4 linked regions of the Schizosaccharomyces pombe genome follow. The protein of the gene in region 1 interacts with the protein of each later gene in a biochemical or structural test. Each region holds a gene or a part of one and is shown on either strand. Other genes may lie near its edges. The genes, in order: sip1, rho3, vas2 and apl4.

Region 1 (6,106 bases):
ATGTTTTAAGGCATGTAGCTGCATAAAACTGCGTCTGCCAACGGTAATTCTTCTGGAATAATGGATTACTTGCGTTTTCGGAAGTTCCATAAGCCAAAGATACGGTATCTTCATCTAGGTTGTTTTGTATATCTTGTTCGTTGGATCTTTCAGAACTCGAAGTATTTTTTATGCCGACAAGAAAAAGTAAAATATTTACCCATGAGTGTATGTCCGAATCTTTGTAATCGTTTAGCCAGATATACAGTATGTTCTTCAAAAGCTTGTTGTCAGGAGTGGTGTCGAGTGATTGCCAAATAAGCCTATCAAAATGTCGCTTATAACATGATTCCGAGAACTCATGGTTTTGAAGCAATATTTGGTATAAAACTTCAATAGAAATTTCCCTACGTTTAGGTTGCTTTAGGTCAATTATGTTACCACAAAGCTCCCTAATGAAGAAATCAGAATTGGTTTCTAATGGTGTAAATAGATATAGGTGCTGATAACATTTGTAAACGTGTATAATGTTATCTCCCGTATCTCTACTAAGTAAAAGCAATTGGTGAGCTAAATCGAATGCGAAATGCGAAGTAGAAGAATCGGATCGCAAGTTTGGTCCAAGCTCATTTATCAAACAATCCAAGTAATTGGCAAAAAGAGTGGACGGGAAAAATAAACTGTTTCTCTTCTTTAAGAGCTGAACATCAATATCACATTCTGGCAATAGCATATAGCTCAATAAAATGCGTGTCTGGGCAGTTAAAACACTCGGAATGGTCTTTGCGATAGACCCAAGAGAAACGGAAGAAGCACGAATAGAACACTCTCTAACAAGGTCATTCGAATCAGTATTAAAAACTTTGAGCAGCTGATAAGCGGTGATGAGGGTAGTTTGGGGAACTCCGGAACCAACCTTTTTTAATATATGGCCAACGGCTAGAATCAAGACAGCCCTGCAATTTGGATCTCCCGACTCTGCAGCACGTTTAATTATTGTATCCAAAACGGACGTCGGTTTGCTTTGATATAAATATGCCAAAAACGCATAAGATTTCGAAATGTAAGGAATTAACTTCGGATCGTTAACAGCAGTCAAGTTTTCGAGCAATTCTATCATAAGGGATACAACCTTGTCAGGCAAGGTAACTTTTTTGTTATCGAAAGCAGAGAGAAATCCATAAATGGAAAATAAAGTATTTGCTGTTACTGCCTTGTAACGTAAAATATCTCTCCCACTCTTGAGGTTTGTCACAGACGCTACCATAATTTCGAGAGTGCTCTCCATAACCTTCGGAGGTTGATGACAAAACATAGACGCAAATAACTGGATCGCGTTATCAATTAAAGAAGTTAAAGACGGGGGTACGTAAGGAAGTTTTGCAGAGTTTGATCTCGAAATCACTGACAGGGAATCAGAAGATGACTCGCAAATATAACAAGGAAGTATATCATCCATGGTTGTTTGAAATTCTTCCTCTGGCTGAGCGTAAAATCGTGAACCAATTCCAGGTATAACTCTTGGAGAAGTAAAGGCTTTCGCTTGAACTATTTCGTCCGCAGTATCATATCCTTGTAAAGAAGAAAGTTCGGCTATAGTAGACACAGTCGTGGATAGTAATTCTTGATCATCTAAACTCATTCCACTTAACTGAGACAACTCGAAGAAACATTGGAAAATCCGAGCAAGCAAGAGAGAGCGAAGTTCCAAGTGAGAATAATCTGAAGCGGGAATTGGCATGGTAATTTCAAGCCTTTTGGTTAACGAAAAAGCTTTGTAGAATTTAAGGCAGTTATTTAGGAAAATAATGACTCGCTTCCTAACATCAGGTGTGAATAAAATCTTGTTATACTCCAAAAACGAAAGCAAGCACTGTAACGCTTCAAACCGATTAAACATGTCTGCATTTGTCTCCATGAAATTTTGTGAATGTATTTTTGAAGGTACTCTGGAAAGGGCATTCTTCCATAAAATTAGCAATTGGGACAATTGCATTCTAGTAAAAGAAGGACCAAAAGAAACGTAAGCGCTTAATAGTCGCCAACCAGTCTTGATTTGTGCTTGTGCCGCTAATAAATCCAATTTAGATGATGACTTAATCAAATCCAAAGAGAAGTTAAATAACTTTGAAAATATAGAAGAAGCAACATATAGAGGATTTTCTTCGGCGGCAACATAAATCGACATCAACGACAAAGTAAGATTATTGAAAATACCAACATTCAATTTGGGACTTACTTCCTTAGGTTTAGAACGAAGGTGCTTAAATTCCAACTCTAATCTATTAAAAAGAGCAAGCAAAGTGGGCATTAAAGGAGAAGGCATAACGGATAGTAAACAGCGCAGCAACCAGGCTACTTCATTCTTCAATGAATCTTTACCCAAGTATAGAATCTGTAGTGTAGTATCTAGTAACTGACTATATAAAGCAGTAGCCGAACCCTTTGATCGGCTTAATATATCAGCGGTGGAAGCCATCGCAGTCTTAACAGCAATTTCCGAAATCTTCGACTGATCTTTTAAATAAGGCTCTAACACTCTCTTTAAAAGTATTTCAATTCCCTGCAATTCAGAGCTTTGATCGAGAAATCGCCTTCCAATCACATCGCGAAACAAGTATGTACAATGATATTGCTCCAACGAAGACAACCATTCTTTTGAAGTAGAGTGTGATTGGTGTAATAGAATAATATCCACTATAGTAGTGTAGTTGAGAGAAACAAAGGATGGACGTTGCATTAGAAAAAGATGCTTAACGGCAAAAACAAGAACCGCTTTTGAGCTTTCATACTTTGCATGCTTGGAGTGATAATTTTCGACAAGAATCCGTAGGGCGTGACGAAAACTCTCAGTTTCATCAAAACGGCGAGTAGTAGACCGATTTTCTACTTCCTCATTGTTCTCATCATCCGCTGGAGTTGAGGGTACTGCGTTTGCAGCGGCTTCAATCGATTTGTCAGCTTGAGCACTTGCAAGTGCAGAAAAGCATCTTCCTAAAGAAGAATGGAGCAAAGAATTATCAATTGATGATTTTTTAAATAGAAAAGATTTGAACCATTCCAATTCTGAATTACGAAGACGTGAAGAGCCCAGAATGTAGTAAGCGCAACGAAGTGCAGATAAAAGAACATTCGTTGATGAAGTGTTTAAATTTGATTTAATACATTTCCATATTTCTTTTATCAAATCTTCATTCGTAGACTGAATAGATGTTTCAATGCATTTCGACAGTCCATCTAATGCGATTGAGCGAACTCCATATGACAAATTGGTTTTCGAATATTTGAAGAAAAATCTTATAAAAGTCTCTTGCTGATTGATCTATTAAGGTTAATTATAAGTTTATAGAAAATATCCAAAAGAGTAATACCTGATTTCCATATTCTTCCAAGCAAGAAGTCAGAACGGATAAAACGTTACTACCGGTTAGTTGATATTTCAAATATTCTAGACATACATAATCTCTATATAGTCTTTTTTCTCATGAATGCTATCCACGAAGTAAAGTAAAACTCGATGCTGATGATAACCCTCGACTAATACTTGTTAACATATACCATTTTCCATAAATCTCACATACGTCCTTTTAAGAGTGCAATTATACAGTTAGAAAGAAGTTTTCTAGTTGGATAAGCAATAAAATTTCCATATTTTTTGATTAACGAAAGTAGGGGATTTAAATTAGTTTGTAATGAATCCTCGCGAGTATTTTTGTTCAGATTCCTCAATTGTTTTTCGTAATTGAGTAAATCAATATATATGGTCTCCCTCTTATCTACATCAGCTACTTTCGTCAACTTTTCGAGCGGCAATGATGCTAACGACATATGTGGAGCGGCCAAACCAATTTCCCTAGGCTAAATCTATATACATTGAGTTGCGAGGTACTGAAATCTGCAGTCGACATTTACACGATTTACAATAAATTAATAATCAAATAGTCTATAGATAATATATTTATTATTATCATTATAATTAACCACTTTACTTATCAACCACGAACACAAAGATGTTTTAAATTGTAGGAGACTACTAGAATGCAATAGCCATTCCGAGTATCGTTAATTTTAAAATTAAATAAAACAACGAAAAGTCATTTATAGATTTAGTTTTGAAATGGACAAAAATTTTGTCTGAGAAGGCAAAAATCACAGCTCAACGCTAGTATGAGCATCTGCAATGCAAACAATTATTATGCTATTCATAATGGTATTTCCATGTACAATAAGAACAAGGGGTCTCATGATCAGAAGGAGTACTAATAAAACTTAATATTTGCATATTTCCATAAAACCTAATTGAACATTTTCATAAACAAAGAAGAAAACACAAAAAAAAAGAAAGGACAGATATTAATGAAGAGCTCGAAATGCTTTGCTGGCCATAACTCACATATGGGAGAGATTAGTATCAGTATAATCATCGCGCTTGTTATCTAAATTAAATGAACCTAAATTATCAAGCTCATCTTGTTTTTCTTTTTTTCTGCTTCGTACTCCAAGTCCAAATGGAATAACCAGCACTAAAAACCCTGTAAAAGCCATCACCACACCTGAAAAAGAAAAGGAAATTAATAAATGAAATTTCAAATACCTAGTTTGAACTATAAATATACTTACCTGCTGCTTTTCTTATTTGGTCCCATTTCTGCCTCTCATTTTCAGCCCTCAATTTACCTAACGAAACGGCTAATAAATTGTGTAGTTCAACAATTCTTGCACTCAATTGCTGGACTTCATTCTTTGTATCATTTTTCCGATTTTCAAACTCCATTTTGCTTTCGGTATTAAGCTTGTTTAACTGCTCGTGAACCAATTGTTCCAAACTTTCTACTTCCCTTTGGTTTGAAAACAAGCCTGAACGTAACGAACTGATTTGATCTTTTCTCATATTTATTTTCTCTGAGCGAAGCTCCGACAAAGCTGTACGAAACAAATAGGAGCACTATACAAGTTAGCTATGACAGTTCATTTGAAAGCAAAAAAAACCGTCAATCTATAATTAAAGATAAATTTAAAGACGGAAGGATTCTGTAGCTTAATAAATCATACGTACATTTTCAAAATCAGCTTCAGACAGGTAATTGAGATGACTATGTCGCAGCATATCAGTAACAAACATATTCGTGACTTCGAGAAGACCCTCGGCCTCTTTTTCTGTATATCCTTTATCCATTAAAGTTTTCAAAAATGTAAATGTGTTGAAGTGATATCCTTCAAGGTCTCTGAAAGGACGATTTTCGTGATTGGCATTTACTACTGAAAGACCCTTTTCCATTTCACCTGCATCTGTCCCTTCTGATGCATAAAATCGAATTTGCTTCGTTAAGGATAAAGAATAAGGAATTAAACGAAAAGTATTGATACTATGCACTTTAATCCCATGCAAGGTAATTCGGGATCGATTAACATCTATAGCTTTTCGTAGCAAAGAGAACATTTTGTCAAGCTACCAAATTTTGATTATAAATTAAGCAACTTATTAACAGACATAATTAATTTTTGTTAAAAATTGGGTACGATGATTGTGGTGAATGTTAAATGTACATATCAGAAGGCGTAAAGGAGTAGTATGGGTGTACCCATAGAAAATAATAATGATGAAAATGCATTGATAAGTGGTTTTGATTATTTCCTTATAAGGTTTAAAATGTTAAAGGATATAAAAGAAAATATTTCTACAATTCTAATTATACGTCAAATTGAACGAGGGCAGTGAAGCTTTATTGTTATTCAGCATCTTCAGGAAATTTGACAACAGAACTTCCGAAGCATTGGATCAGGACAAAGAGCTGATGAGTAACAAGTAATATTCCACTTAGCATAAACCGAGGTGCAAACACTTTCCAAACCATCAAATGGCGACGAAAAAATCCAGCAAAGAAGACAGTACTCGTCGAGATCAATAGGTTATAAAGAATGAAAGAAAAGGAGAATCGAAACAAGTTTATCAAGAATCTATTTTTCTTGGAAAGTGGTTCGAATGAAAATAGTGGAATCGAAATGCAAGTAAGTATCGGCGCACCGACCGTATGCAAAAACATGAATATAGCGCTTATAGCCTGGTTTTCAGCAGATTTTGAATGAATGAATGCAAAATTCCAATCAAGAGACGATATAGCAGCCT
Region 2 (5,557 bases), on another chromosome or scaffold:
CCAAATCAGAAAAGCTAGATTCATTGTACATGACATCTGACATAACAATATAATCCCAATGACGCCGAAATTTTCGAGGAATGTCATGTCCCCATACTAAAATATCAGAAGTTATGTTGTTGCTCATTGCAGACTTATTCTTTTCAACATTTTTTTCCATAAATTCAATCGCATCTTCTGTATCGGTCATTGACACAAGAGCACGTGGATATTTGCTAGCAATACTTATACCAACAATTCCACATCCGGAGCCTAGTTCTAAAACATTGATGTCTTTTCTATTGGAAAAGCTATAATGCCAATCATCAGAAAGAATCTTTTTTGAGAAAACTACGCCGGCATCCCACAAGTGCTTAGCAATACTGTTACCCATCTGTTCGAGAAACCAGAGACCATCGTTTGGTGACTTTTTTTCTGGGCCTTGGATATACCGCCATACCATATTAGGTAAAGTAGATTTCGGTGAAAAAGCTTCACTCCAAACTGGTAATACAGTATCGGCATTTATGTGTATAGAATCAACGATTGAATTCTGATTTTCTAAATGCAGCGTCAATTGAATTTGCTGGTGACTAGCAGGAAAATACAAAGTCGTTTCAGCCGCGTGACCATTCCCTATCCATGAAACACATTGCTTAGAAATTGTGATACGACTGTGAGATTGTTGTCTATCCAATGCTTCAACCCTTACGGTTGCATCTTGCGGATATGAAACTTCGCCCAGATCAGAAGTTATCGTAAAAACCACTCGTAAAGCGTATTTAAAGGATTCTTCGAGCTTTTCTTGGAGTCTTAAAATTCTAATATAATAGAAAGTCATTCAAGCGTCCAAATACTTTAAAAATCCTTGGAAAAATAAAGAAAAGGGGGTCTTACAGAAATTTTTTTAATGATCTATTAACGTTCAGTTTCCCTTTAAACCACATTCACCAATCAATGAAATAAACCACTAGCAATGAAATACAAGTTGGTTGAAAAATTTTTTTTTTCGCAATTTGAAAAACTAAAATTCTCTGAAATATCAGATTATCGCCGCAATATGAGAGAGGGTAAACTGATCGTAAAAGCAAAACAATTGAACTAAGTTGTTAATTCATGCAACCCGGTAGCAATCATCATGAAAATAATCTCTGAATTGTTGTAAGAAAAACGCATGGTAGCAAACTTAAGTCGCAAGCAGAGCAACGAGTCATAACTGATAATACGAATATTCACATAAGGAAATGAACTTTATAAACACTCAATTACAAATTTGAGGGCATAAGCAATTGCACTAACACTTTTTTACATGTTGGTTTATTATGTGTTTTGCTGACTTTCCTTTTGTTTGTTACTTTTTTGTTGTTACCAGCGCACCTAAACGAGAAAACGTGTATTGATCCCTTCACATTTTAACCTCACAATACAGAAAATGGAGAATCAGGTGTCCAGTTTTCTAATTGATTCTCCAATGGAATGGAAGACTTATATGAAAAGCTTGAGTGATGATAATCCCAGCTTTGGGGACGTAACAGTTAATTTGACGAAAATTAGCGTATCTTCAAAAAATGCAAAAAGCTACGCAGAAGAAATGTATAATTATGTAACTCAAGAGATGGTATTTATCAGTGAACGTAGTAGACTATTATTGCGCGCAAAAAGAAGGTTGTACAAAAATCAATCACTTATGAAAAAAACGTCTGTGTCAACCTCGAACACAGTAAAGATGGTATTTATGTCACTAGCAAAGCAAATTGAACAAATGCTCAAATTCTGTATGATGGTTTACAGCAAATTGTGCGAGGCGTTTGAAACAACGTTAAAGGTAGCGAAGGAGTTTCAAATTTGCGATTCTTCTCAAGAATGGTTTTTCCAATTCCAATTGGGTTATCATAGAAAACAGATGGAATTACAGATGCTTTCTTTTGTAGCCGAATGGCTTGTTTTAACTCAACATTATACAGATGCTCTGAATGACTCGGCAAAAACACTTTACGACATAATGGAAAGTAGCCATAAAGCGGCACAAAAAGTTTAAAAGCATATTCAAATGTCAAACAAAATTTTCTTCTTTTAAAGGTGCTATTCAATTCATGATTCCAACAGTTGCTGTGCAAATTAAACTATTATCATGAAACAAACCACGGTAAAGTTGGTTGTACTATTGTGTGACTCCTTTTTCAAACTCATCAAAGTACGATTTTCAATTAAATTTTAAACTTTCAATTGAAAGGGTTGCCTCAAAATTGACAAGCCCTTGGTCAACTTTCACTAACTGGTGCTGTTGATTTTCTTCCTATTTAGCAATCACGTTATATATACCGTGTATTTCATTTTGAGACTGAGAGTAGACTTCCCCAATATATTTTAGTAAAACTATCCTTCGAAGGTTTTGTTCATCAATGAATTAATGCTTTACTCATCAAAATATATTATGAAACAATCCTACTTGCGAAGTTCATTCTGTATTACGTATTTCCGTATCTCTTTTAATAAACTGGTTCGCATCGCCTTAATTATTCTAAATTTGATTGTTACCTGAAATGTAGAAGCCAATCTACAGCGCACAAGGACATGTATGTCCTTCGCTAAGCAGTAAGCTGGGGTCTTGCGTAGGCTTTAGCTCATGGTACAAAATTCGTACCTAAACCAAACACCTCTAATCCTTTATTATACAGAAACCATTGAAAAACCCATAGAAAGCTTGATTGAAGCTCATTGAAAGTATGTCAAGCTGTTTCGGAAGTAAAAAGAAGCCTATTTATCGGAAAATCGTAATTCTTGGTGATGGTAAGGATCTTGGTGAAAATTTTGTTTTTTCTTTCGTGATTTTCGCAGCTAAGCATTCTAACCGTAAATTATAGGTGCTGCTGGTAAAACCAGTTTGTTAAATGTATTTACTAAGGGTTATTTCCCTCAGGTATACGAGCCTACTATGTAAGTATCATTAATAGTGCAAAGCTGTAAACGGCGGAGCGGAAATGAGGTTACCGTCTGCAATATCAAGTATAACTCAATATGAAGCATCTTTTTTTGCAAACCTTTTATCTAACGGGTTAATTTGTGGAAATTTGTTTCATTTCTGAGGAAAACGAGAATGCCCGAGTGTGCTCTCCATACAGTCACACTCGTACAATTTCTCATGACCAAACGTCAAATTGCTTTTACTATGCTTGACCTGTTAAGGGTTTTCACCACTTCTTTACATGATTATCTTCTTGTACTTAAAAACTTTTTCCGTTATCTAACACCTAAAAATAGATTTGAAAACTACATTCATGATATCTTTGTCGATGGAAACAGTATAGAACTGTCTCTATGGGATACAGCTGGTCAAGAAGAGTATGATCAACTGCGTTCGTTATCATATTCAGATACACATGTTATTATGATCTGCTTTGCCGTGGATTCACGAGACTCATTAGAAAATGTAATCACAAAATGGCTTCCGGAAGTCTCTAGTAATTGCCCTGGTGTTAAATTGGTTCTTGTTGCTCTAAAATGTGATTTACGTGGAGCTGATGAGGAGCAAGTTGATCACAGTAAAATTATTGATTACGAGGAAGGACTGGCAGCGGCAAAAAAAATCAACGCTGTACGATATTTAGAATGCAGCGCTAAATTAAATCGTGGCGTAAATGAAGCTTTCACGGAAGCTGCACGCGTTGCCCTTGCCGCGCAACCAAGAGGTACAAAGGATGGTGCTGATGAATCCCATGGTACCGGATGTATCATTGCTTGAAAGCACTTTCTTTTGAAAGCGCCTAAAAGTCTTATTTCTAATGTTCGAAGTTTATTATTGTATATGACGTTAGTGTGGGTGTTGCGGTGGCCTTTGAATAGCGTTAACCTTTTTTCAATGGTTTGTACTTTTGACTTTTATCCCCTTTGCTGTTCTCAAGGTTTTAAATTTGACACTTGGGGATTCTGTCCGTTTCCAATGAGTTTATCTCCTTATTTCAGGTGTATTGTCTATCTTTCTTACCTTCCTACTTGAAACAGCAGGTATTTGTACAATCGTGAAAAAGAGTGTTTGCAGTGAACCTTACTTTCCTTCTTTTTTGAAACTTGTACACTTTGAGTTGTTCAATTCTCCTTCTGTTCGTGTAATCGTTGAGTTGCTAATCTAATCAATTAATCTACCCCTTTTCTTTTACGATAAGCATACTGTTGAGCAATAAGGATTAGTCTTTCGGTTGTAAGACATGGGTCTGAGTCAAATCCTACCGTTTTAGAAAGCACCTTAAATATTTATGTAATATGAAGTGTTACCCCTAAATATCGTAATTGAAGTTAAAAATTGTAAAAATTTAGACTACCCAATATGTTGTATTCGTGCATCCGTGCAACCCTAATTCAATTTGATCCATTTGAAAGTAAAACAAAATTTATTATGTCTTTATCCTTTAAATTAAAGATCCCAGTCATCCTCATCGTCTTGAACACGTCGATTGATCTAATTAAACAGTTAAACTCTGGACCATGTAATATAAACAGATGTTTTTTTTTGATATTTCTCTCCTCAGATGAATTTGAAATAAAAAAGGAGAGAAGGAATTAGTAAGGCACTTACCACAATTTTTGTTTCATTACGTTTGGAGACCTCACCAGAAATTTTTTCTAACAATTCGATAAGTTCGGGCTCTGAGATTTTATGAGATATCTGGCCCGTTTTGGCCATACGTAACAGGAGCTCTTCAACAGCTACACAAATTAGACACATGTTTACATTATTCGTAAACAGATATTAAATTATTATCCGCCGCAGAAAATGAAATCACACTTACCTTCAGCACGATCTTTTCGTACCAACGCTATACGACGAAGTCTGTCTCTTGCTGGGTGTTCCAAAATTTGAGAAAGCTTATGAAATTGTTAGTCGGATATGGACCATACACATCATAAACATACTAGATTTTGTCGCATTTCATCTTGTACCTCCTGTTGTTGCTGATTGCTTGATGGACCTGAAGCAATATTACTAGATTTGTTAATTCTTGTAAAAAAAATGGAGTATATAAATAAATTAGTTTCTAAATTCACTATCGGATTTCCTTTGTGTAATTTTAAAATGATTCATTAAATCTCGTCATTTACCAACATAATCCTTCAAGTGAATTCTAATAAAAAATTATAACTTTCAGTCGTAGAGTTTTGAAGTTTATATGCAAGTTTCGAAACTAAGAACATACCTAGGGGCAGAACCATGTTCAGCTTGAAGTTGTGCTAAACGAGCTTGTCTTATAGCTTGCAATTCTTCATCCATTATGAATAAGCCTAATTATTAAGCAAGAACTGATGCACAAATGTTTTTTAATTGAGACTTGTGTAATGCTCAAATTTGTGGTGTTGCAAAGGATTAACGATAGATTTGCGGTACTGCTATGGAATAATAGCAATTAACAAGCGCTAGCATAATCAATTGTGTCGAGAGGACCATATTGGTGAGTAATACTTTTTTTAACTTTCTTTTTCTAGTAGACATGTACTTATTACCCTTATCTTGACAAAGCAGTCTGCTATCACGAAGAAACCTGGTCAAAATCCAGTGTGTGACAGCAACACCTATTCATATAGC
Region 3 (4,415 bases), on another chromosome or scaffold:
CTAAACAAACGATACACGTACACGATATTTCTGGATCAGCCATGATCGTGTTGATAGGAGAGTCCCAAGTTAAATCCGCTCTCAGTTGGAACAATGAAACAAGTATGTAAAGATTTCTATTCAGGTATGTACCTACTCACCAAAATTTTTAGTTTTGTTGATTCATAATGCAATTGCCTACCGAACCAATACCGGAATGCTGGAATTGTCAATTAAAGATGCAATAATTCAAACACTTCAGTCATTTGATGGTAAAGTTTTGAAACTATTAAATTTTTCAATCAAAAGAAAAGAACTTATTAAGATAAATGCTTATAGATTGAGCACCCTAGAGGCTCTTGAAAAAATAGCCAGCCAATCTGGAGAAGCTTTTGGGCAGGTTGGCGTTTTAATAATGCAAAGTAAAATTAAAGATTTAACAAAAGAAGGGGGATTAGTTTATGGCAATGATTTGACAGGTTTGAGATTTGCAGATTTAATAAGCATAATTGTCGATGAAACTGGAAGTGTTAAAAACCCAAAATTTAGTCAAAAGCTTTTGGAAGAAATTACAAATATAGCTCCTACGGAGTTAAGTGTATTGAATGAAGAACAAGCAATGCATCTAGAAAACGTCTTCCTGTATAGACACTATCGAGTTTGTGTTGGTTTTCTGAACAAACAAATTTACGTGTTTTCAAGTGATGAACCCTTAAAATCATACATTTAATTATTAAATTAAATACTCTTAAGTTATTAACATTAACATTAAATCAGCATATTGATTCTGTAAAACCAGACTTGATTTGATATGCAGCAGACACTAATAAACTGAATTAAAAAAAAAAACGAACATATAAGGCTATGATATTAAATGAAGTGTCAACTTTATGCTGTAATTTTTCTTGGATAACTCAATTAATTTTTGTATTACATTTAAATCGTGGGTAAATAACAGAAATTAATCAATTTAAGTCTAAAAAATATTTATTAGTATTTGACAGTTCTTACGATAATTTTCTAAAGACAGTTTAAATTTGTGACATTTTCGGATCTCTAACGCATATTATCATTCCAAATCCCATCTTCATTTACATAACTCTAAAATGTCAGAAAAACCTGACCTTAGGCAAAGATGTTCTGATATATATCGTGAAATAAAGGAAAAGAAATTAACTGTGGTAAAGCAAGGTGCAGAAGCAATCACGATAAAAACCGAGTTTTATCCAGGTGAGGTTTGTCTTTTGAAGTGCCGACCTGCGAAACGATGGAGACATCCTATTTTAGATCAGAAATTATCAAGAAAACGCTGCTTAGTGGAAGCAAGACTTTTAGCAAAATGTCATTACGTTGGAATAAAATGTCCCATGCTGTACTTTATAGATGCCAATCGTGGTCAAATATATATGGAATGGATTGATGGACCTTGTGTACGAGATTATATTCGAGAGATCTGCGAATGTGAGATTGAAAAAAAACTTATTCCTTTAATGAAGCGAATAGGATCAGAAGTTGCGAAGATGCATAAGAATGATATCGTTCATGGAGATTTGACAACTAGTAATATGATGCTGGAGTCTCACAACAATCCGGTCCCAATTTTTATTGATTTCGGTTTAGGAAGCGTTTCCGAATCTGAGGAAGATAAAGCTGTGGATATTTACGTCCTAGAGAGAGCTTTATCAAGTACTTTACCAGAAAGCGAATCTTTGGTATGTTAACTATTAGACTTAAAGCACTTAAATTCTAACTGTTTGAAGTTTCATCATGTTTTAGACTCTTATGCCCAAAGTTGGAAACAATCTAAGGCAACACTTCGAAGATTTGAAGAAGTACGAATGCGTGGCCGTAAACGTACCATGATAGGATGATGTTCTAAATACTAGTCTCTAGAAAATTTTTTATAAAAAATCTTTCATTTATTGTTTAGTCTTTATGGTATCCTTCATATGGTTTAATTAGTCTATGGACCTTTTGCCGATGCCCTATGTATTTAGTTGCTTTAGAGTTGGCACACGCACTACCTAACTACCGCTATCAACACCAAGCAATAGTGAGCGTTAAGTCAATCTTGGCAGTCAACGTTAGATAACTGTTTTGTTTCTGATTATTTATTACCTTTTTTTTGTAACCTTTATGAGCTTTCGTCCATAGCGGTTACGAATTGAAACATCGTTTACCTTATAGTGTCAATCCCCTTTAAAGCAGCGTATAAGCATTTAATAAGCTTTTATAAGATGTCTATAAAGTTCTTTCTACTCGTAAGCCGCCAGGGAAAGGTGCGTTTAGCTAAATGGTTCAATACTTTGTCAATCAAGGAGAGAGCCAAAATAATCCGTGATGTTTCTTCACTGGTGATTACACGAAAACCAAAAATGTGCAATTTTGTTGAATATAAAGGTAAAAAAATTGGTATTTTTATTCAAAATATGAATTAACTGTATTTGTCTTAGGCGAAAAAATTGTTTACCGACGATATGCTTCCTTGTTTTTTGTTTGTGGAATTGAACAGGATGATAATGAGTTAATTATATTAGAAGTCATCCATAAGTTTGTTGAATGCTTAGACAAATACTTTGGTAATGTACGGCTTTCCCCCTGATTTGATTGAATTTGAATTGTACTTTTATTAACCGAGTAGGTTTGTGAGCTTGACCTCATTTTTAATTTCGAAAAAGCATATTACGTTATGGAGGAATTACTACTCGCAGGAGAGTTACAGGAATCTAGCAAAACAAATGTTCTTTCTGCAGTTCTAGCTGGTGATGCAGAATCGGAAGCTGATGCCCAGCAAGATAGCCTCCAAAAACTTGTGGGCAGCGTGAAGAAGCGTTAAAAATGTAACCGGTAATTGATTTCACTTTCTGTGATGAACGGGTTAAAAAAAATAGCTCTCTTCCATTTTATTACCGATTTCACTTTTCATTACAATTGTGTGTGTGACTGACATAGACCTAATTTGCATGTATCCATACACCGAAGTTTATCTTGTATCACGTTGATCATTTCGCAATAATCTGAAATGTCGTCGTTAATAACGCTTTACGACATTAAAAATCTTATGTTTTTTTTAATCATTTTCACATTGGTTTTAACAAACTGTGTTCATAGATGATATTCAGTATTGATATAAACCATCGACACTGTCATTCATGTCTCCCGTTTTACATGTTCATTATAACACTGCTGTAGTTTTGAATATTTACATTTTGCAATACCAAATAGCTAATAGTCATCGTTCACCCAGCTTTATTATAAAAGTTTAAATATATGGTCATCTACTACCGTAAATTAAAATGTACATTTGCTTGAAATTTTCCTTAATTTGATCAAATTTGAAAGAATTGTATTTTATTTGTTAATAAATCGTCTAATATTTGTATATCTTACTCACTCGTCCATAGTCATTCATACATTCATGTAGGCATTTTGTTATGTCATTGCAATTCCACTACTCATAAAACTAACACCTACTATATATTGTCACAGTTATTTTATCTACGTTTGTTACTCGAGTTCTCAAAATTGGTATTATTATAGTAAACATATTACAGTTCCAGTTTGAAGATTTTCACTACTACTAAGGCTAACTAGTTTTACCATTTACACCACAAAATTTTATGCATGTCTGTCGATGAGAGCAATTCGGACAGTGAAATTGATTCGATCAGCTCGTCTGATGAAGATGAAGAGCCTAAACTGATTTATGAAAGAATTACTGAAAAATTTCAAGGATGCTTTATGAACGACACCATATCTGCTTGTGCAATCTCTAAGGAACATTTTGTAAGCATCGTCATCTGGTTTTATTCATATAATTTAACATTTGTGTATAGTTTTTTGGTTCGCATAATGGTGCAATTTACATTTATCAGAAAAATGGTATTTTATTACGAAAAATGATACTGCACTCAGCATCTGTAGTAGATCTTTCTGTGGACCTTGAAAGCGAAAATTTAGCTTCATGTTCTATGGATGGTAAGTTAATATTGTTCTTAATTAGTACTGATCTTTATTAGGAAAAATGATCATTTCTAATATTACTACTCGCGAAACTACTGTTCATGATTTCAAGCGGCCTTTATTGAGCGTCGCAATTGATCCATACTACAGTACTAGATCATCCCGTCAGGTTCTTTCAGGAGGACGAGCTGGAAAAGTTGTACTTTCTGAAAAAGGTATGCTTTTGGATAGGAGCGTGCGCCCTTATTTTACTCTTTTACGTCTAACGATAAATTTAGGGTGGTTAGGAAATAAAGACACCGTGCTGCAAGCTGATTGTGGAGCAGTTTATAAAATATCGTGGTACACAACATATATTGCTTGGGCTTCTGACCTGGGTATTACAGTTTATAGCACTGAGTTCGGAAAGGTTTTAGGCCGTTTGGAACCCCCAAAACGACTACCGAATGATGAGATTTTTCCGTATCAGTTAT
Region 4 (6,803 bases), on another chromosome or scaffold:
CGTAACCGCGGATTTTTAAAGTGATACATCCCATAACAAGTTCATGTAATACAGAGGAGACAAAGAACGTGAAAAAAGTCGATAAAGACTTTGACATGAAAGAGTTGAGGGGAACATAAACGTGGCGAAGGAGAAAGTAATGAACGGGCTTATTCCAGGTTCGGGCAAATTGATCCCAAGTCCAGCAATTCCACCAATCATCATAAAAGTTTCTATCGGCAAATCTAGTAATCTCTGCGCTGAAATTACAAACTCCTTCAAAAATGACCCAGAACACGAGGAGGAAGCTAAGCATAAATGGGAACATCAAAAATGCTACAGTATGGCCTAAACGTATAGCAAAATAAGTAGCAGATGCGTCTTCAGGAGCTTCAATAATGGTTCGAATGGCTTTAGCAAGTACAGGAACCATGAAATGATCAGAAATAATGACCAAAAGAAAGATACAACCAAACGTTCCCAAAGCGCATTCAATCAAATAATGAATTCGCACATGGGCGGTTCTTGGGTAGTATAATTGATAACATAAGCTGGGCATGAAAAGGAAATCCAAAGCATTTGGTATGGTTAAATTTTCCGGATAAGTATTACCATGATGGTTGAGACAATGTTCATAAAACTCAACTGAGGATCGTTCATCATCATCAAGATCGGTTTTTTTTGACTGAAGCTTATTTAACGAATGATAACAATAAGAATACCAACCGTTGACAACGTTATAGGAATGAAGCTTCATAAGGATTACCATAGAATGAAGAATAAACATAGCACGATGCGTCCAGGACCAGTTGCTAAGACAGCAGCGTAAAACACAATGGCTTAAAAAAAGTAAAATAAGAATGGAATAGAGGTAAACGCCTAAACCATACCACCGCAGATATCCCAAAGCAAAAATCTTTTGGAAAGGAAAAGCAAGTAGAAACATTGAAGACATAGCAAGGTCTGCCTTTGCCAGATCTAACAAATTAGACTGAAAGTATTTAAAAATAGTGCCAACAACTGGTCTTCCAGTCAATTCGAAATTTTCTAAAAAGCTCATGAAAATCATAATAGAGACAGCAACCCAAAATAACACAAAAAATCCAGTAAAGTCTACCGCATTACGTTGATAATTACGAGCAAAAATCGAGGGAGTAGGAGATAATTCCAGAGGTCGGTAAGCGGCCCTAGACCTTCGAAGGTCAATTTTTGAGGTTTCAGAAACACCTTTGAACGTCTGTTCCAAGTTGACATCCGATGGTTTGGATTTAGCGGGTGTTGCAGCAATCATCTTTAAATAACCAGCAATTAAAGCAACTAAGTGAATATATAACAAAAAAGATAAATATATAAAGAAAAAGATAAAACAAAAAAATAACGTAAAATCAGCAGCTACGTATCGCGAACAGTATCAAAGAAATTGAAAAAGAAGCGGATATGAACGTAGGAAGATTAAATTTATTTTTTGCTTCGCTTCTAAATAAAAAATTGAGGAATGAAAGCAAGAAACTTAGAAATGTAATCTATTGATGGAAGTTCCAACTTGGAATTTCAAGATGACAGAACTGGTATGACGAAAACTCCACAGTCGTGATTCCAAAAATAAAAATTCTATGCCAAATGTTCCACTATAGAATGGAAGTAAATAAAAAGCTCGAACTCCTAAGCAATTCACGTTCTATGCGATTTATGTAAGGAAAAGCCAAGTCTCCAGTTTCAAAATGAGCAAAGGAGTTGATAAGTTAGAATTGCGAGCTAAGACGATGAACCACCTGATCTCAGCAATATCTGCAATACTACACCACGTTATGTAAAATTTCGTTACGTATCACTATATATCACATGTCCTATTCATTTATCCGCTATATGTGATACGACATTGGCACTTGCTTATTGTAGCTTATTACCAAATGACTGACAGGTACAAACAAAAAAGAATGCTCAATCGAACCTTTTTCCCTTAGTTTACATATTATGAGCATTTCAATAATAATTTACAATAACACCTTAATACCCGATTTTCGCGTTACCTGCATATCGCAATATAGTAGTGCACAAATACAACTCACTGTGATTTAACGTGCCATTAAAACTGGTTACAAACTGCATAGTTAAGAAGCAAAGCCACATAGCGTGGTCAAGAACGAATAGAGAAACATAAATTCCAGATATTGCCCATCAATTAACAACTCCATATAGCAAATTCGATAGGATAATTCAAAAATTACACAGATAACCAAAGGAAGCTAGGTATTCTTTTAATTTGTGCAGTATTGGTGAATGCATCAGTTTTGAGCGTCGTTTAAAGCTGCATCCTATTTTGTTAAGTGAAATTGATTTGATTTTCATTGTTTTATATATTCTGTGTTTAGATTGCGTTTTTCTGTTTGCTTTCAATACATCTCATAGAAATGCAAGTTAATATTTACTGGAATCAATTATAGTAGGAACGTAAAATATCTCAGTGAATATTGGTACGGATGGAAAGATAACTTTAGTATTGCACATGGATTTTATTAAGAACCTCTAATAAGGGAATGTGTATTAAACGTAATATGATTACTGAAAAGCACAAAAACCATACCTAAAAAATATTCAACTCTTAGCCATAGTACACCTTCTTAAATGTACTTGCAATAAGTGGTAACATAATATTAAGTTAATCAATATAAATGGTATTTACATCTGCTTAATAAAAACTAGGAATTATAAAAAAAGACACTTCAGCTGACTTAACGTAACACAGCAGCAACAAAACAAATTAAAATTTATTTTATTTAAAGCATATTTTTTAGTATTCATTATTGATAGATTGACGAAAGAGTCGCAACGTTAAATTCGTTTTAAAGAAATTTACCGTGCAATACCCTACCGCATGTACAAGCAACAGCCAAGTAATGCAAACAACACATCCAAAGAACCTGCATCTTACTTGTTCGGGAGTGGAAAGAGGTTTCACCAATTCCCCAAAGACGCATCCAAAGATGTCAAGTTTAAAATCTTTTATAAAGGCTGTTCGGGCATCCAAAACGACTGCTGAGGAGCACACAACGATTCTCAAAGAGTCGGCTCAAATCAGAAAAAACATTCGTCAAGGTTCTAATGACATGCGTATGCGCAGAAAAAATGTTGCCAAGCTGCTATATTTATTTCTACTCGGTGAGCCGACACACTTTGGTCAGATTGAATGTTTAAAATTGTTGTCGAGTTCGCGATTCATGGATAAACGTTTGGGATACCTAGCAGCTATGCTTCTGTTAGACGAGAACCAGGAAGTTTTGACGTTATTGACAAATTCTCTTCAAAATGACTTGAAATCTAGAGACAAATTTATTGTGGGGTTGGCATTATCTGCGTTTGGTAATGTCGCTGGCCCTGAGCTTGCAAGGGATTTGTCAAACGACATAGCCGAACTTTGCTCTAACCATCATAATTATATATCAAAGAAGGCTGTTCTCTGTGCACTTAGAGTAATTCAAAAAGAACCGGATTTGGAAAGTTTATATATTGAGAAAACCGATGAATTGTTACATTCAAAAAGTCATGGTGTTTTAATGGCTGCTCTTGCTTTTGCCATCAGTGCTTGCAAAATAAATCCGTCGCTAATATCCCGATTTGAAAGTCAAGCTGACGATTTGATTTATCGTATTCGTCAATTGTCCACTAGTACTTACTCCTCTGAGCATAACATTGGCAATATATCTGATCCGTTTTTGCAAGTTAAAATCCTTCAGTTTTTGTCAATACTTGGTCAAAATAACCCTAAAATTTACGACAAAATGAGTGATCTTTTAGCTCAAGTCTGTACTAACACTGATTCCTCTAGAAATGCAGGTAATGCTATTCTTTATCAAGCTGTGCGTACCATCCTTGATCTTAATTCTGACAGTAGCCTTCGAGTTTTGGGGGTCAATATTTTAGCAAAGTTTTTAGGTAATCGTGACAATAACACTCGTTATGTTGCTCTTAATATGCTGAAACTCGTTGTAAATAGTGAAGAAAATGCAGTTCAGCGTCACCGATCAACTATCCTTGCTTGTCTTAATGATGTCGACAGTTCTATTCAATCTCGTGCGCTTGAACTTTCTACATTTCTCGTTAATGAGGCGAACGTTCGTTTCATGGTGCGTGAGCTTTTATCATTTCTTGATAACGTTTCTGATGAATTACGTGGATCCACTGCTCAATATATTACAGAAGTCACAAATGCTTTTGCTCCCAATAAGCGATGGCATTTCGATACCCTTCTACGAGTCTTCAAATCTGCTGGCAACTTTGTCAGTGAATCGACTCTTTCAACGTTTTTACGACTCATAGCTAGTGCTCCTGAACTTCATGAATATGCTGTGGTAAAGTTGTACGCTGCTTTAAAGGAAGATGTATCTCAGGAAGCTTTAACTCTTTCTGCTTTTTGGGTAATTGGAGAATATGGTCAGATGCTTCTTTCACCAACAATGAATTTTGATGATGATCAAACCCTTCCTCATTCTGTTTCAGAATCTGATATTGTGGACATTATTGAGGAAGTATTTAATAGCGTTGAAGCATCTAGGTACATAATTGTTCAATATGGTCTTTTCGCTCTCACGAAGTTAAGTGCTCGTCTAGGTTCTTCTTCTACTGCTTCTCGTATTGACAAGATAATTTATTCCTATAAGAGAAACAAGAACACCGAGGTGCAACAAAGATCTGTCGAGTTCCACCTTATATTAAATGACTCCAAATTGAGCAAGACAATTCTAGAACCAACTCCCGCTCCTCTGCCTCCTCCTAGGACCACGCCTTATCAAAATGCGGAGCAAAAGCTAAAGGCTAACAAACACGTAGAAAAACGTGTTCAGGAAAGCAACGAATTGCTAGACCTCATTGGGTTAACTACCCCTTCTGTTGCTGAGCCCTTAGAAACACCAGTGGATGAAATGACTCAAAGCCCTCAATCCAGCTTAAGCCGCGCTCCTTCTACTTCCAAAAAGAGTCATTTTGAAGATATCCTTGGTTTATTTGCTTCTCCGGCGCCTTCAGCTCAACCGGTTGACAGCTTGGCAAGCAGCTTTGCTTCTTTGGACTTTAATGCTTCAGCCAGCCAACCATCAAACAACTTGTCTTTGCTTTCTTCCATACCATCAACTTCCAAATCATACCCTCCTATTGTTGTATTTGATAAACACGATGTGACGTTAACTTTGGTGCCATCCAAAGAAGAAAGTACCAAAACAGCCGTCATTGAAGCTAAATTTAAAAATAAAAATCCAATGACTAGGGTTGAGAAAATACATCTAGAAGTGGCAGTTCCCAAATCACAGAAACTGAAAATTCAGCCCTTGAGGACTACAAGTATGGAGCCTGGTGGAGAAACTTCTCAAACCCTGCGGGTTCATGGGCCATCGGGTTCTCAAGTCAAACTGCGTCTACGTATCTCTGTGGTCCGACAAGGTGGATCAAATACTCTCGATCAGGTAGATTTTGGAAAGTTGCCATCTGACCTTTTACAATAGTATCCGAAGTATGGACAATGCCATTTAAAATATAACGCTCGAGCTATCAAAGAAGATTTCTGACATGATCCATGCTACACTTTTTGATGGGTCTAGTCAGTTTTACGAGAAAATGTTCGTAGAATAGTGAATAATGAGGTAATAGAAAATGAAAGCTCTAATTGTTTTTATGAAAGAAAATAGGTTTTTTTTTATATAATTTTAGCAATTTTCTCGATATGGAATCATGGTATACTTATTGGATAAGTTCACTTATGTAATTTTCAAATTGAGACTTGCTCATTCTTTATTGTATATCATTGAACGGAAATTTGACCTTCCAAACCCTTCATTAAGAAGTGGTCGGATTTAGAATTAAAGCTGTAATATTATTTTAATAGAAGTGCATACCTCCAATACAATCGCAACTAGAAAAGTATAAAATGTAAAATCCTAAACTTATTTCCTTTAACAATTGATCAATGCAATAATTAAGCCTATGAATTATATATTAACTAACAGAGAGTAAATCCAACATTAGAAAGCATTAGTCTTGCTTTAAGCTTTTTCAGTACTATGCGCACGTTCAGAAATTAACTGTTGTATATAAAATGCTATTGCATTTTGATTTTGTGTTTCCAGAGACCGCATTCGCTCTTTTAAATCTCTTTCTAAATCCCATGTAGGCTTTTTAGGTCGCAAAGTTACCAAATCTAGTTCTTCAACAGGAACAGAACTTTGTTCTTCAATTTTTCTCTTAGTCTTTTCTTCAATCTCCTTCGATAATGCTTCAACTGATTCAATCATGTTTGGCGGTTCCACGAATCCCATTTTAGGTGCCTGCACTTCTGGATCATAATTTCGATGCTCAATTACATTTTTTTGAACCTCTTGAGAATCGCGAGTTTTATTCTCTAACTGCTTTATTTTCCTCAATTCCGCTAATCTCTGTTTTCTGGACTCTGCTACCTCATCTAATGAAGACATTTTTTGTTCCAATACAAAAACACAAAATTCGGAAAAACCACACTATAAAACCAGAATGAATGTAGTAAGATACTTTTTTTGTAGTAAGTAATAAGATTAATATCGAGAGATGTTAAAATTCCTAGAATTAACTAGAGTTTGACAATGCACAATAATTCCAGTTCCTAATCAGCAGTATCAAAAAACAAAAACAAAAATTGAGTGTGTAATTTTATATTAACCTAATAGCGACGAACTACCAGATCGTTTTACTTTCTAGTTATTTTTGATAAATGCAGAATATGTATATGAATATTGAGAAGTTAGGAAAATGCAAACCAAGCTCGTTGTTGTCATCTACGCAGTTTGGTATCTGTTTTACGG

What was found.
Region 2: the proteins of sip1 (region 1) and rho3 form a complex in vitro, tested with the Schizosaccharomyces pombe proteins (one study listed by BioGRID).
Region 3: the proteins of sip1 (region 1) and vas2 form a complex in vitro, tested with the Schizosaccharomyces pombe proteins (2 studies listed by BioGRID).
Region 4: the proteins of sip1 (region 1) and apl4 form a complex in vitro, tested with the Schizosaccharomyces pombe proteins (2 studies listed by BioGRID).

The regions. Positions count from the first base shown.
Region 1 is NC_003423.3:1,333,425-1,339,530, reverse strand, and holds the start of sip1 (Pof6-interacting protein Sip1 AP-1 accessory protein), read right to left. Parts: upstream 3,821-6,106; 5' UTR 3,808-3,820; coding exon 3,561-3,807; intron 3,517-3,560; coding exon 3,438-3,516; intron 3,400-3,437; coding exon 3,351-3,399; intron 3,302-3,350; coding exon 1-3,301. Other genes in the region: SPOM_SPBC27B12.07 (uncharacterized protein), read right to left, coding at 4,369-4,532, 4,600-4,924, 5,036-5,419; gpi13 (pig-O family ethanolamine phosphate transferase), read right to left, coding at 5,709-6,106.
Region 2 is NC_003424.3:1,038,830-1,044,386, forward strand, and holds rho3 (Rho family GTPase Rho3), read left to right. Parts: upstream 1-2,619; 5' UTR 2,620-2,705; coding exon 2,706-2,769; intron 2,770-2,843; coding exon 2,844-2,916; intron 2,917-3,150; exon of another isoform or gene 3,151-3,240; coding exon 3,241-3,721; 3' UTR 3,722-4,254; downstream 4,255-5,557. Other genes in the region: efm6 (methyltransferase), read right to left, coding at 1-820; karyogamy protein Tht2, read left to right, coding at 1,412-2,017; SPOM_SPAC23C4.09C (chaperonin-containing T-complex associated protein), read right to left, coding at 4,391-4,435, 4,553-4,683, 4,767-4,842, 4,891-4,960, 5,172-5,245. UniProt on the Schizosaccharomyces pombe protein: Involved in controlling cell shape and septation. Regulates cell separation by modulating the function of the exocyst complex. Involved in post-Golgi vesicle transport. Involved in driving sexual development in a palmitoylation-dependent manner.
Region 3 is NC_003424.3:1,617,933-1,622,347, reverse strand, and holds vas2 (AP-1 adaptor complex sigma subunit Aps1), read left to right. Parts: upstream 1-2,001; 5' UTR 2,002-2,216; coding exon 2,217-2,379; intron 2,380-2,432; coding exon 2,433-2,563; intron 2,564-2,620; coding exon 2,621-2,815; 3' UTR 2,816-2,865; downstream 2,866-4,415. Other genes in the region: protein meu32, read left to right, coding at 1-102, 153-709; bud32 (serine/threonine protein kinase), read left to right, coding at 1,086-1,691, 1,740-1,850; HOPS complex subunit Vps41, read left to right, coding at 3,604-3,765, 3,816-3,957, 3,999-4,157, 4,221-4,415. UniProt on the Schizosaccharomyces pombe protein: Component of the AP-1 complex which links clathrin to receptors in coated vesicles. Clathrin-associated protein complexes are believed to interact with the cytoplasmic tails of membrane proteins, leading to their selection and concentration.
Region 4 is NC_003421.2:2,399,104-2,405,906, forward strand, and holds apl4 (AP-1 adaptor complex gamma subunit Apl4), read left to right. Parts: upstream 1-2,893; 5' UTR 2,894-2,963; coding exon 2,964-5,474; 3' UTR 5,475-5,700; downstream 5,701-6,803. Other genes in the region: acyl-coA-sterol acyltransferase Are2, read right to left, coding at 1-1,270; protein Cwf18, read right to left, coding at 6,012-6,440. UniProt on the Schizosaccharomyces pombe protein: Adaptins are components of the adaptor complexes which link clathrin to receptors in coated vesicles. Clathrin-associated protein complexes are believed to interact with the cytoplasmic tails of membrane proteins, leading to their selection and concentration.